2 linked regions of the Diceros bicornis minor genome follow. The protein of the gene in region 2 interacts with the protein of the main gene of each other region in a pairwise test. Links are inferred from orthologs where the notes say so. Each region holds a gene or a part of one and is shown on either strand. Other genes may lie near its edges.

Region 1 (7,267 bases), on a different chromosome or scaffold from region 2:
CAGATGTTTTTCAGACCCAAAGCTACATTTTCCTGTAAGAGTCAAAAATAGAAATACAACTACTTAAAGAAATCAAACCATCTAGCTAGACCCAAGTAATCAAATTGATGTAGTGATGAGACAGCTAAACAAATCACCAGAAACTTAAGTAAATACACATTCTCTCCCTGACTGTAAGTTATATGGCCTATCAAAGAATCTCAAATTGATGGTCCTGATTTCAACTCTAAGACAGATCTGGTTAAAAAGCTTTACTGTTACAATGTTAGAGCAAGTCATCTAATTTCACAAAAGAGAACAGAATCAAACAACTACTTTTATTTTTATTTTTTATTTTTTTAAAGATTTTATTTATTCATTTTTTTCCCCCCAAAGCCCCAGTAGATAGTTGTATGTCATAGGTTCACATCCTTCTAGTTGCTGTACGTGGGACTTGGCCTCGGGTTGGTCGGAGAAGTGGTGCCTTGGGGCGTGCCCGGGATCCGAACCCGGGCCGCCAGCATCAGAGTGCGCGCACTTAACCGCTAAGCCACGGAGCCGGCCCCACTACTTTTATTAAGGTAAATAAAATTTTAGTTTTCGCTGTATACGTTATGCATGAGCCACATGATAAACAGCCATTAAAAAGAGAAACAAACATGGCCCTTATAATAGGAACTGCCTATGAAGTTGGGTAAAGAGATGTAAGAAACTATCTCAACATGATTACCATATGTAGAAGATGGTGAACCCTCATTCTCACTTGACATTGTTATTGGCCCCAAGACAATTTCTGCGAGATAAGAACAGCACTTTATATTTAGGTAAGAAGCCAGAATGATATGCCATTCTTATACACTACAGTAAGAAGGAACTAGGGTCCCTAGAATATTCTCAAAGCAGCCCAGACCCACGGCAACGCTCAAACAAAGGGACAGTGCAACTCTTGGGGAGCACTACTCACTGATCTTCTGTTCCAAAAAACTTCACAAAAAAGCATTTCTTTCCACGCGGTTTCTTCAAGTCCTTGGGTGGATTAACAATCTGGGGGATAAAAGGGAAAAAAAGTTTTTTTCCACAGCTCCAAATTAACAAGAAAAAAACCTAAATAAAACAAAAGGAATATGACTGAAAAAGAACCCAGAGCCTAGCACACGTCCAAATGTGGCACTTTATCATGATGTGAGGAAACATGCAAATATTCCAGAAGTTCCTACATCTAACATGTAGCACAGCATTCAATAGATACAATATCCCCTTTACTGCAATGGCCGCATTTTAAAAGCATTTACAACTAAGACCAACATTATTTGCCCCCAGTGTGACCTTGTCATCACTGAAGAAATACACAGGACACTCTTAAAAATACTTGTGTGCAGGAAGAGTTGTGACAGGTAATAGTGACAAAGAAGGACAACCGAGGCACTGAAAATGCCATATTGCAAAGAGACAGTCTAAAGACATTTCCCGGGCTCCAAACAAGAATATAACAACAGAACATTTGGAAAGCTATGACGGATCGCCTCATGCAAAATTTGGAATGCCAACTTTTGCAAAGATGCACTGGAGAGAGCAGCACATATGGTAACATGGAAAGATTTAAACTTAGTTGGGACAAAAATACTTTGACTTTTCACTAACCTACATTTAGATTTCTCTCTTCCTGGAGAATTTATTTTCCTCTCTTTTTGTTAGATTTAACTGTAAAGCTATATTCAAGTTAGAATTGATTTCCAGAGTTAAAAGACTTCACCACAACTCTCTCTGATTCAAGAAATAAGCATTTACTGTAGATTAAATGACCTGGTTTATATTATATTGCTTTTTCTAAACAAACTGATAATAGAGAAAAAAAAATTCTGAGTGTCATTTAAGTAGGCCCAGTTTGACCCAATGCTAGAAATTGAGGCGGGTGCATCTTACATTCTCTACCTTCTCAAACGCAACTTCAGATGTCTTCCTGTAGTAGCTTCTAGTAGTAGAACACACTCACCTTTCCTGGCCAAGGAGGATACCGGCCGAGTTTCCCCCTAGAGAAAACACAGAGAATCAGCATTTGCCTTGGAAAAGCCAGTCCATCTCCTTCAACCCACTCAACATGCAAGTTATTTTCTAAATCTCCACTCGCACCCTCAAGTGCCAGAACAAGTTTGCAAACAGGAGTTCTTAATCTGGCTTCCACAGCTGGGCCCAAGAGGCCCAAATCCCTCAGAGCTGGGATGCAAAATTGTAAACGTATGTGCATAAGGTATGTGCATTCTCCTGGTGACAACAAATACACAATAATGAAACCACAAGAATCACTTGTCTAGAGCCTCCCCGGGACGGGGGCGGGGAGCAGTGTGCTCTGTAAACACAGACTTCCCCTCGCCAAGTCTGGTTTAATTCACCGCGGGACGGCCCGGCTCTGACAAATGCTAATGGGAGCCTTCCTCTGGGTCGGGAAACGAGCTACGCAGCTCCAGGGAGACGGCGAGCGTCAGTCTCAGTTCGGGCGGTTGTCTGGGACACACGAGCGGACCACGAAGGCACCCAGAAAGGCACTAGTCCCCGCCAAGCCTCCGAGTGTAAAGGAGAAGTCCCCCCTCCATTTCTTCACGGGGCAGCGCCAACAGTCCGGTTTCGACACCCCGGGCCGAGCCGCCGCACAGGTCGGTTCCATCGCAACGCGGGTTTTGACGGGCTCGCCCGGCGAGATGGCCCCGCCAGCTCCCCGACTCTGCCGCTTTCCGAGACGCCTGGGCAAGACCTCGAGGACCCGGCGTCCGCAGGAGCCGCGCGGCACCGGGCACTCCCTCCACCGTGGCCGCCGGCGTCCGGGTCCGGGGCTCAGAGACCGGCCCGCCGCGGCCACCCTCGGCCTCAGTCCCCCGGGGCCGGGCTGCCCCTTCCGCCCGGCGTCGCTCCCAGCGCCGGCACCTCGTCTCGCCCTCTCTCGCGGCCTGGAGCGCATAGAAGGGCAGCTCCGAAGCTGGCGGCGACCCCCGTGCCCAGGGGTGCAGCTTCGCGGCGCACCTCGCTCGGCCCCGGCCGCCCGGACTCACCACACCAAATCGCCGAGCCGCAGACTCACAGCCGCCATCTTACCACCCAACCACGGCCGACGCACGGGCCGCCGGGAACATCAGGGCGCCCCGGCGCCGCCCATTGGAGTGCGCCCGGCCACGTGACGGGGGCCGGCTGTCAGCGGCCACGCCGCGGCTCTGACGTCACCGCGCCCGCCGGGGCTCATTGGCCGGCTGAGCGGCACGTGACCCGGGAGCCGCGGTCTCCGCGCGCCGGAGCCCCGAGACTCCCGGCTCCTCTCCCCCTCCCTCCGGCTCGTGACAACGAAGCGCCGGCGGTCTGATTCGGCGGTGGAGGCGGCGGTAGTGACTGTGCGGCCGGCCGAGAGCGCGAGGGAGCCGGCCCTGCGGTCCGCCCCGCCCCGCCCCCGGGTCCCGGCCTCCAGCCCCCTCCTCCTCGGCGCTTCCGTTACGGCCGTTAGTCTCGCGCGGGCCCCGGGGCCGGCCGCCTCGGCGCGCCGGCAGCTGCCCTGACAGACCTCGGCGCGGCCTGGAAGCCAGCCTCCGCCCGCGCCCGGGGCCCCGCGCCCGGCGAGCTCTACGTGGCCGCGCCCGGAGGGCCGACGGGTCCTTCGGAGGCTGCTTTCTGACGGCCGGGGTCCGGGGAGCGGCTCCGAGCCCGCGTCCGCGCCGCAAGTTGTCCCGGGGCGCCGGTGCATCCCGCCCCGAGGTCGCGAGCTGCTCGGCCGACGTGGAGCCGGCGTCTCTCCGCTTCCTCCTGGGCGGGCGCGGCGGCACGGCCCGCGAGGCTCCCCCGGGCGCGCGGGGACCCGGCCATGGGCCGCGGCGCGGGCCGGCCGCCCGCGGGGAGGCATGGCTCGGGGGCCGGCCGCTAGCGGCGCCGCAGCCCGGGCTCCCGGGCCGGCATGAGGACGGCCGCCGGGGGACGAGTGCGGCCCGCGGGGCAGTAGCCTGCGTCGCGCCGGGGACAAAGGTGCGTGTCTTTGTGGGGACCGGGCTCTCGCGTCTGCCTTGCTGTAGTTTGACACTTTGAGGGAAGTTGGGCGCAGGCTGTTGTGACAACAGGAAGGCAGGTGCCGGGCGCGGTCTCGATACGTTAAAACTAAGCCACTGAATGGGAACTGTAATCGGCGGTTCAGCACAGCGCCTGCCCAAGTGTCCGCACACCAGGGAGGGAACAAAATTTAGAAGGTCCCAATGCCAGTTGCAGACTCCAGGGAGTCCGAGGGAAGAGTTAACTTAGAACCGGACTGATCTTGGGTCGTATCCTGCTTGAAAAGGTGGCGGGTCCGCCCGCGTCTCCCATAGGCGTTTTGTTCTGCGGAGACTTGGGTTGTAAGGGGCTTTTAGCGAACTAGCTTGTTCGAAGCCTGGTTTTTCTTGGGCGTTCAGTTTCCCTAAAACACCGTCCGTTAGTTTCAGGAACTGTCATTGACTGTTTTGTGTTTTTTAAAGACAAACTGATCATTTAAAGCATGTTTAAGATTCCAAAAAATAATTTAGTGAAATTAAACACACATTCCTAATTTAAAAACTTTTATTTTTTGAGGACTTGGAAGGGTATTTTAATGACTTGGTAAAAATATGTAAATCCTAAATTGACATCGCACTGGGCTACAGGCATTCCCGTTAGTCAGGAACATGGCAAAGAATATATTGTCTAATATTATTCTGGAAGTTCTAGCCAATGTAATAAGACGTGAAACAAAAATAAGAAAAATAATTTTTCAGAAAGGAGAAGACAAAATTCTCATTTCTGTGGATGAGAGGTCAGCCTATTTTGAAAAAAAAGTTAAGGGAAAACCGTTAAAATAAGAGTTCACTTGTAAAGAAACTAATTGTAAAATCAGTATACAAAATTCTCCTTTTCTTTGTTTCACCAATAATCCGTTTGAAAATATAGTAGTTAAGATGTTGTGTAACAAAAAAATATACAATTCCGGGGAATAACCTCTGAGATACAAAAGGAGGCTAGCATTTCTTGGATAACATCAGTTGAGTTTTTTAAGAGGGGTGTTTTTGTGTGTAGAATACTGTGCTTTTACTTCGAATAATGTTCAACTCATTAAAGTTGAGTATTTAAATACTTAGCTTTTCTTAAGCTTTTTAAATTTTACTCAAATCTTGTTTTATTTACAAATCTAAGAATGTTTATATAAATAAAAATACTTGATCTTTGACAAAGCTTCGATTAAGGCGTCAGTTTAACAGATTAAATTTCTCTAAACAGTGAATTCGCTTTACAAAGTTAAATTCCCTTAAGTGTTTTAAACTGCATTTAAAGTTTTATATGCTTTTTCTCTCAAATACTTCAAACTTATAGAACGGTGAACTTATAAAGCTAGTAGTAAAGTCTTTCCAAGGACTTAACTCTTGTAAGGCTAATAAATGTGTGAATGTAAGGTTCTTTTAAACGCACACTTTCAAAGTTATATTTTCTTAAGGATTTCAAATTAAAATTGTAAGTCTAAGTCATTCATTCATATGTTTTTGTTTTTTCTTTTTTTGTGAGATCAGCCCTGAGCTAACATTTGATGCCAATCCTCCTCTTTTTTTGCTGAGGAAGACTGGCCCTGGGCTATCATCCGTGCCCATCTTCCTCCACTTTATATGGGACGCCGCCACAGCATGGCCCACCAAGCAGTGCGTCGGTGCGCGCCCGGGATCTGAGCCGGCGAACCCCGGACTGCTGCAGCAAAGCGTGCGCACTTAACCGCTTGCGCCACCAGGCTGGCCCCCATTCATATGTTTGATTCTCTTAAATATTGCAAATGATTTAGTAACAAGTGACGGCAATTATCATGATGATTATAAAACTTAATCCAAGATCTAAGTGTTAATATGCTGTAGGTTTGATTCTGTAGTCTTATTTCTATAACTTCTCAGGCTGGCAAAGTCACCTCCACAACTAAGAGAAGCAGATTTACCATATAGGTTTGAAGTTAAAATGTCTAAAATTTGGGCCAAGATAAGGTTACATTTTTATTTTATTTTATTTATTTTTTTAAACAGTTATTTTAATTTTATTTATTTATTTTTTTCCCCCCAAAGCCCCAGTAGATAATTGTATGTCATACCTGCACATCCTTCTAGTTGCTGTATGTGGGACTCGGCCTCAGCATGGCCAGAGAAGCGGTGCGTCGGTGCGCGCCCGGGATCCGAACCCCGGGCCGCCAGTAGCGGAGCGCGCACACCTAACCGCTAAGCCACGGGGCCGGCCCTAAGGTTACATTTTTAAATTACTGCCCAGACAGGGGCAGGGACCTGGTTGCCGCTTCCAGGATGACCTTCCTGTATCCCATCGGTTAACTTGCAGATTCTCTTACAGTGAGGCTGTGCCTGCTCTCATCAGTGGGGGACTTGCAGCTTGCAGCTGGGACTTATTTTCATAACCCAGTGCATCAGGAATGTCCTGGGGGCCTTGAAAGTTTCTTTTAGGGGAATTTCTTTTAACATTTTAATGCATGATGGTCTTTTGTGCCACCAACCTGTTTTGCTGCTAATCACTTTGCTGTCTAATTAGAATTATTTTAACTCTTCGTTTTTAGATATTTTATTCCCTTATCTGATCTTAAAGATTAAAATTTTATGATCATAATAGAATGAATATTGCATATATACAGATATACATATATTTGGATGTATATGATATATGTAAAATCTTCCTGAATTAATTCATATTTATGATTCATTTACAATCAAAATGCAGTGAGGTTTTTTGGGGGAACTTGTCAAAGTGATTCTAAAATTGATCTGAAATGATAAACAGGTTGGAAGACCCAAGTATTACTTTTAAAAGAAGAAGAAAGATGAATTTTTAATTCAAGATGTTAAAATATAAAATTTGTCAAAACAATATGGTACTGGTTGAGGAATCTCTAGATACTAGATTAATATAACAGGATAGATTTCAGAAATAGATCTTAAGATATCTAAGACATTACATATGATATATGCCAAATCAGCAGGGAAAAGAAGGATTATTAGTGATTGATGCTGGGAAAAACCAAGTTAGAGCCTCATCTCTCACCTTATAGCAGAGCAAATTCAACTTGGGTTAAAGAGTTCAATGTGAAAAATATATCTATAAAAGGCTGGATAGGTAAATTCTTACACAAGAATTACCTGGCTGGAGAAGGACATTCTAGGCATAAAAGAAACGGGAGAAACCATAAGGGAGAAGAGGCTAATTTTAACTGCATAAAAAGTTAAAATTTCTTTCATCATACCTTGCTTTAAGCAAAATTAAGCAGTAGATAATG
Region 2 (7,264 bases):
CTCACACCTCGCAGACCCAGCCTTGCACTGAATCCTCATCCCTACTGATAAGCATCAGTTTCCGACAAATCGCATAATTGCTGTATCCCCAGGTCTTTATTTTTGATTTCCCTTTTATCCTTCTACCATTCTGCGATGTAGCTAACAGACAAAAAAGTACACAGAACACGTCTGTTCTCTTTTAACAGACGGAGTCAACGCCTGTGGTACCACCACTCATCACTCCGGCCTCCCCCCAAAAGGTCATCACTGCCACTCTGTTTCTTTACCTTTGACTTTTGCAATAAACATTTCATTTTTCTAGTTTTACCACCTGTGTAGCAATCTCCAAGCAAGAATTCACTTGTTAACTTTACATGAAGGGGATCAGACGATGTGATGGCTTGTTTCATTCGCTTGAGGTTGGGATTCACCGGTTGTCCACAGCTCTCACCTGTTCCTCTTCACTGGTATTGATAGGCTGACATAAGAAGGCCGCTGCGAACGTTCACACGGGTGCTGGTGCAGGTACGTGTCCTCGGTCACAGCCCCCGGAGTGGAACTGCTGCGTCACAGGGTGGGTCTTATCTTCATTTTTACTAGAAAACGCCCGAATGTTTTTTCCCAAGTGTTCATACCAATCTACACTCCCACCACCTGGCTCTCAGTTCCTCTTGCTCTGTTCCCTCATCAGCACAGGGCATTGTCTAAATTTTTGCCAGTCCAGTGAGTGTATAATGGCATCTCATTTGCATTTCTGATTACTAATACAATCCAGCACCTTTTCATAGGCTTATTCACCATATGGGTATCCACTCTGGCTGCCTTGTGGGTCTTCTACCCACTTTCCTATTGTGTTGTCTGCTTTTTCTTGGCTACAGACCTTTGTTATCTTTGGGTGTTGCAAAGCTCCTTCCCCACCCTGGGTTGACAAGTCTCCTCGCTCTCTTTATGGTATCTTTAGACGAGCGAAGTTTCTATTAACGGAGTTGAATTTATCAACTTTTTAGTTTTTGCCGAGGAAGATTGTCCCTGAGCTAACATCTGTGCCCATTTTCCTCCACTTCATGTGGGACACTGCCACAGCACGGCTCGATGAGCGGCGTGTAGGTCCGTGCCCAGGATCTGAACCCGCAAACCCCTGGCCGCTGAGGCAGAGCAAGTGAACTCAACCACTCTTCCACTGGGCCAGCCCCTATCAACTTTTTCTTCTTAATTTTTCCCTACTCTGAGATCATGAAAATTTTCTCATATTAGTCCAATTTTTGTATTTAACATCTGTCATTCTCTCCTCAGCAGACTTAAGCCATCTAAAGAAAATTCTGTAAGAAAATTCTCAACGATGCTCTGCTGAAGGAATGAAAGCCAAGCAGGCCTGGGTGCCCACAGCTAGCATCTCACCTGATCTTTACCACCACCTCATTTCCCAAGTGGGGAAACTGAGGCTCAGAGAGGAAGAGTGACAGGACTAAGGAACACAGGGCTCTCAGGTACATGGGCTTCCAAGTTACTTTCTGAGGGCCAGCCTGGCTACTTCCTAAGCAGTAAGTCCATGGACAAATCACTTAGACTCTCTGAGCCCCTCACTTCCTCACCTGTACAAGAGAAAACACTTTCTTATTGTGGAAGAAAAAATGTTTGCAAAGATCTTAGTTGTGAGCCTAGTTCATACTAAGTGTTCAACAAAGAACAGGATGAAAATGTACCAAATGAAAGTGTAACTCACTTGAGCCCCCAGCTGTGATGCCCATGCTCTTTCTGCCTCCCTACGAGAGCAGGACAACCAGCAAGAGCACTGCCCACTCCTCCAGAGGCCAGGAGAGCACATGAGGATGGGCAGGGGAACTCTTACCCATTCTTAGCTGGTCCACCCTCTTCCTGCCACCTCTCACTCCCACTGACTTTTCCTCCAGGTGCTGCCTAGCCCAGCTGTTGACTCCACTGACATCTGGAACACCACAGCCCATATGGATCCCAGGAAGAATCAACCCACACCCTCTCCCACATCACTAAGGGATTGAGACACTCCGAGGCACCTGCTGGAGGCCCACGTGGCTGGGGCGGCTGCCCTCCAGGCTGGGAAGGAAGCTGCTACTTTCAACCTGCGCTGATAAGGAGGGCAGCACACCTGGTCAGTCTCTGGTGAAAAGGCGACTCCCAGCCCACCTGCTGTTCACACACGAAGCCCAGTCATGAAGGCCACTGACTTTATTGATTTAAAAAACTCTGTAAGGACAGTGACTGTTCTGCCAAAAAACGAGCCAAATGGCATAAAACAGACCACAGGTGAGGGTGGGAGTGAGGATAGGGGCCAGGAATCCACTCAGAAAAGCTGGTAATTGTCAACATGAAACTGGCAGGGGAAGGGGAAGGCAGGTGCATGCAACAGCAAGATTTCCAAAAAAGTTGAAATGGTGAAGGGAGAGAACTCCCCAAAGACTCGAGTACATCGGAGGTGAGACACAACAGCAACCTTTTCCTTTGTAGAGGACGGGAGAGGAGTCCCCACTTGGCTGCAAACTCTGCAGACTCAAGGCTAGGGCTGGGGTTTGGGGGCTCTGTGGGGAGCATCACAAGAAGGCGTCGCACCACTCTCGCAGGCACCCAAAGCAGTCCCGGGACTGCTTGGCGTTGGCGCCGCACGTGTCCTTCAGCCATTCCCGGAAGAGGTCTTCATCTTTCTTTAGCACCAGAAACTGGCCAAGGACCACGTAGGCCTACAAAACAGGCAAAGAGGAAATGCCATTAAGTACTCTGTGGGACTAAGAATAAGACCCTTAGTGTGGCATCAAAGCACAGGAGCCTGGAAGGCAGGGCAGGCTCTGCCTATGTCTTCAGCTTACACACCCCCAACAAGTACACTCACATTCCTCACTCCCAAACTACAAGAAACATTGCAGGCTGTCCCCTACCCGGCCCCCAGCCCTCCCCAGGTGCACGCAACCACCCCACACCTTGTCAAAGCCCCTTTCCTCCAGCTTCTTGCCCAGGACTTCACCAATCCCGGCCAAGCTCCCCACTGGCTTTTCCCCCATGGGTTCTGCCACGAAGTCTCGGTGCTTTTGAGAAGTTGTCATCTTGATCAGGCTGAATCTGGGAATCCCAAGAAAAAGTAGGTTAGGGCTGAAAACCTGGGCACTCCAGAAAGCCCATGAGCAATCTCATTAAGAGGAAGCTGGACCAGCCATGATGGTGGTTTTACTCGAGTCCCCTCATTTCACGGATGAGAAAACTGAAACCAAGGAAATTCTTTTCCCCACTGTTCAAGAGAAATCTCTTCCACTCCCCGTGGGAACTGGGTTTTGGTATTGCTCCAGAGGAAAATCTATCTTGCCCTAACAGGTGGCGCGCGCGGAGCAGTGGGAAGAGTCCCAGGGTGAGTAGCCAGGGGCCGCCCTGAGGCTGTCACTCCCTCTGTGACCTTGGCTGGGCAAAGAAGACACTGGTTGTACCTGGACCGGCTACCTGCTCTGAAAAACAAACGAGTGGTCGGTCTGCCCCACACGCCCCACAGCGCTCACAGGGCGCAGGCGCAAGCCGGAGCGCGCACACCCGCTCCTCCAGCCCCGCGGCCCGCCTGGGCTCCCGCCCCGTCCGCCCGCCGTGCTGGCTCCGCCCCCAGCGCGCCGCCCCGCCCCCTCCGCGCGCCTACGCGCCCACGCGCCGCCCCGCCCTCTCCCTGCATCGCGGCCAAGCTATCTGCGAGGGCGCATCTTCCGTCCCGCCTGGCACATGCGGCCCCTTCCCTCCTCTCTTCCCCGCGCCTCCTCTGGCCTCCAGCCCAGGCCCCGCTCAGCAGCTCGTGCTCACCCGCGGCTCCCGTTCCCGTAACGGCTCCTCCCGCCACCGGCTGCTCCCGCCGCTACCTCAACCCACTAGAACTTTCTTCCACTTCCGCTTCCGGGTCGCCTCAAGAGCCGCCTTAAAAAAAAAAAATCTAAATTGGGCACTTCTAGCCGCCTAGAGCCATAGAGATGAGGCGCTCCGGAGCTCGACGGTGCCTTTAGTAGGCGCTTCTTTCTGGTCGCTTCGCGGGAAGCGGGGGTCCTTTCTATGATCTCGCTTCTGGGACAGCATTTCCGGTCTCGGGGAGCGGAGGCCTCGGAGGAGAAAACTTCATTTCCTCGCTGCCCGGCACCCGGAACTCTAGGACTTAGCCTCGGCCGACCTGGCGGGGGGAAGAGTTAGAGAGACGGACAAGGGCCGGGGGGGGGGGGGGGGTGGCCGAGAGCTTCCGAGAGCGCCGGAAGTACGGTGCTCGGAAGGGACCGACGCAGGCTGACTCGCGTTGTCGTCGTCGGCGTCGGGCTTGTAGGAGTCTGGAGGGATGCGGAGGTGCGGGAGACCTGAGTCCGAGTCGACACCACCGTCGTGACCGCCGGCAAGTCCCTTTTCTGTGCCTTCCTTGGCTCAGCTGCCAAGTGTGTCGTGGAGGAACCGCTCTTAGCCTCCAGCCTGGAGAAACGGGGTCGTTCAGGCAGCACTCGTGGGAGACGAGGGCCAGAGAGTAAGTGTGGGTCTCTCTCTGAGCGTCTTTCCTGCGGGATAGGGAGGGAGGAGGGGTGGGAGGGCAACTAGAGGTGACACTTCGGAGTTTCGTTTGGAAGCCATCGATCTTGGTGGTACCAGTGCTTGTCTTCTCAGTAGCCAAGTCACAAATATCGCAGATGCCGCAGACCAAGCCGGCTCACCCTGACCTTCAGTTAATTCATTCTTAGCTTGGACTATCGCGATGGTCTCCCGCCTGGTCTCTACCTGTAATGTGTTGAGAGATTGAGCATCTGTGTTGTGTGGCTATGCTATGCCTGTAATGTACAAGCGTGCTGAGAACGATGCGATTTATCTCATCCTCCTTCCCGAGCTGTTACCAGAATGATTTATTACTCTAGAACACGTAGGTTTTATGATTATGCTAGTACTTACAATATGAGTTGTTGTATGTGTCGTACACCATGCTAAGGGCTCTCTTGTCATTTTCTCCTAACAGTAATGCTTTGCGTTAGCTATTATTTTTTTTTTGAGGCCTAGGGAAGTTGAACACCTAGGAATAGCCAAGATAGGGTTTGAATCGAAGCAATTGGATTTCAGAGGCGACATTCTTAACCAGGACGCTGTGTCACTCCTCAGTAAAAGGCTCCTCCTCATCTTCAAAACAGTTCTGGGTTCTGAGCCTGCCGTCCAAGAAACTCAGAAGGAGGAGTTGACAGTCTCTGCGTCCCTCACCTGCCTGGGACAGGACCCGGCATGTCTCAGGCCACCAAGAGGAAGCATGTGGTGAAGGAGGTGCTGGGGGAGCACATGGTGCCCTCTGATCAGCAGCAGATCGTGCGGGTGAGTGGCATTGGGCACAGGCTGCTCTGCCCACTACTCCTCCACTCCCATTGGGCCCCTGGGGTGAGAGCAGGGTGCACTGTAGCTCAGAGGGTGTTCAAGCTGGCTGATCAGCCTGACTGGTTCTTGGTCTCTCCTGGACCAGGTACTCAGGACCCCAGGGAACAATCTGCATGAAGTGGAGACAGCCCAGGGGCAGCGCTTCCTGGTAAGCATGCCTTCCAAATACCGCAAGAACATCTGGATCAAGAGAGGTGAGAGAGGCAGCTCTGGGGGGGGCGAGGGGCGGGCAGAACCATTTTCGTTGCCTTTGGCTTTCCCCACTGCCAGCAGGACTGACTGTCTTTTCTCCTCTTGGTGGACAGGGGACTTTCTCATTGTTGACCCTATTGAAGAGGGAGAAAAGGTGAAGGCTGAGATCTCCTTTGTGCTCTGCAAGGACCATGTGCGCTCTCTGCAGAAGGAGGGGCTCTGGTAGGGCAGGCCCCTTGGTCTTTCTGGCTTCTGGGAGGATTGACTTCCTAGCTGTGGAACTGGGGGAGGGAAGATCATGGCATCCCAGGCGGGGACAGCTGGAAACAGCCTTTTGGCTGAAAGATTTCTCTTTCCTTTTTGACTCTGGCTCTTCTCTTGGCACAGGCCTGAGGCCTTCTCTGAAGTGGCTGAGAAACACAACAACAACAGGAACAGGTGAGGAACAAGCCTTGGGATAGGGAGGACAGAAAATAGGGGTTCAGGCCTTGGTGTCTTGAGGGAAAAATAGAGCTTTCCTTTCTCCCTACATAGGGTTCCTGGTGAGAACTCTTAAACGTGTGCTATAATATATGGTTATGAGCATGGCTTGAAAGTCAGAGGCCCTGGGTTAAAATCTTAGCTTTGCCACTTATAACTGAGTGACTTGAAGCAGCTTACTTAATCTCTTAAGCCTCAATTTCATCACCTTTAAAATGGGAGCTTTGGGGCCGGCCCAGTGGCATAGTGGTTAAGTTCACGCGCTCCCCTTCAGCAGCCCCGGGTTCACAGGTTTGGATCCTGGGCGCAGACCTACACACTGCTCATCAAACCATGCTGTGGTGTCCCATATACAAAATAGAGGAAGACTGGCACAGATGTTAGCTCAGGGACGATCTTCCTCAAGCAAAAACAGAAAGATTGGCAACAGATGGTAGCTCAGGGCCGGTCTTCCTCACTGAAAAAAAAAGAGGGTTGGGGGGAGCTTTGTGAGGGTTAAAGGAATCAGTGTTTATGAAATTGCTTAGTATAGTACGTGGTATATAATGTGGGTCCACTGAGAGTCAGTGGTGGTAGAATGGTTGTTATTAAAACCTGTGGGTCTAGCAAACTTTTGAGGGGGGTTGGGAGGTAGTCTTTAGGCTGTTTTTGCTCTGCCTCTCTCTTTGTCTGATTTGCGGAGCCCTGGCTGCTTGGCCATGTGGTCCTCCTTTTTGTGGGCCTCCTTTATTGCAGATCTGGTTTCCCCAGAAGGCATTGGGCTAACTCTTTCTTTTTTCCCCATGTAGACAGACTCAGCCAGAACTCTCAGCTGAGCCGCAGTCATCAGGAGAAGAGTCCAGCTCTGAAGACGATTCCGACCTCTTTGTTAACACCAACCGCAGACAGTATCATGAGAGTGAGGAGGAAAGCGAAGAGGAGGAGGCGGCCTGAGACCCCAGAACCCACTTTTCCTCTTGCTCAGAGACTCTTTGGCTCCTCTGAGCATGGACATTCCCAGGGTGCTCTGCAGGTCTTCCCCACTGGGTGGGGACAAGGCAGAGCCCCTCTCTGAACTGACCTTCTGACCCAGGAGAATTAAACCCCTGGTGGGTGGTGACTTGTGCTGGTGTCCGAGTCCCTTTCTGGAGGGAAGAGGGACTTGTGATGAAGTTGAAACCTGCTCCTTGGTGGAGGCCTCACGAGCAGGTGGGCTGAATGGGCAGGAAATGGGGAATAGCTG

Evidence for each region. The genes of interacting proteins can lie anywhere in the genome.
Region 1: the proteins of EIF1AD (region 2) and GLYR1 interact in binary tests that used the Homo sapiens proteins (3 or more experiments, as listed by UniProt). The two-hybrid records come from large-scale screens. The link is inferred for Diceros bicornis minor from reciprocal best matches to the Homo sapiens genes EIF1AD and GLYR1.

The regions. Positions count from the first base shown.
Region 1 is NC_080765.1:43,772,084-43,779,350, reverse strand, and holds the start of GLYR1 (cytokine-like nuclear factor N-PAC), read right to left. Parts: upstream 3,082-7,267; 5' UTR 3,062-3,081; coding exon 3,024-3,061; intron 2,010-3,023; coding exon 1,973-2,009; intron 1,024-1,972; coding exon 944-1,023; intron 1-943. UniProt on the Homo sapiens protein: Cytokine-like nuclear factor with chromatin gene reader activity involved in chromatin modification and regulation of gene expression. Acts as a nucleosome-destabilizing factor that is recruited to genes during transcriptional activation.
Region 2 is NC_080770.1:7,291,598-7,298,861, forward strand, and holds the start of EIF1AD (probable RNA-binding protein EIF1AD), read left to right. Parts: upstream 1-4,244; 5' UTR 4,245-4,486; intron 4,487-5,067; exon of another isoform or gene 5,068-5,086; 5' UTR 5,087-5,223; coding exon 5,224-5,310; intron 5,311-5,455; coding exon 5,456-5,564; intron 5,565-5,675; coding exon 5,676-5,784; intron 5,785-5,949; coding exon 5,950-6,000; intron 6,001-6,830; coding exon 6,831-6,975; 3' UTR 6,976-7,264. Other genes in the region: BANF1 (barrier-to-autointegration factor), read right to left, coding at 2,550-2,696, 2,934-3,056.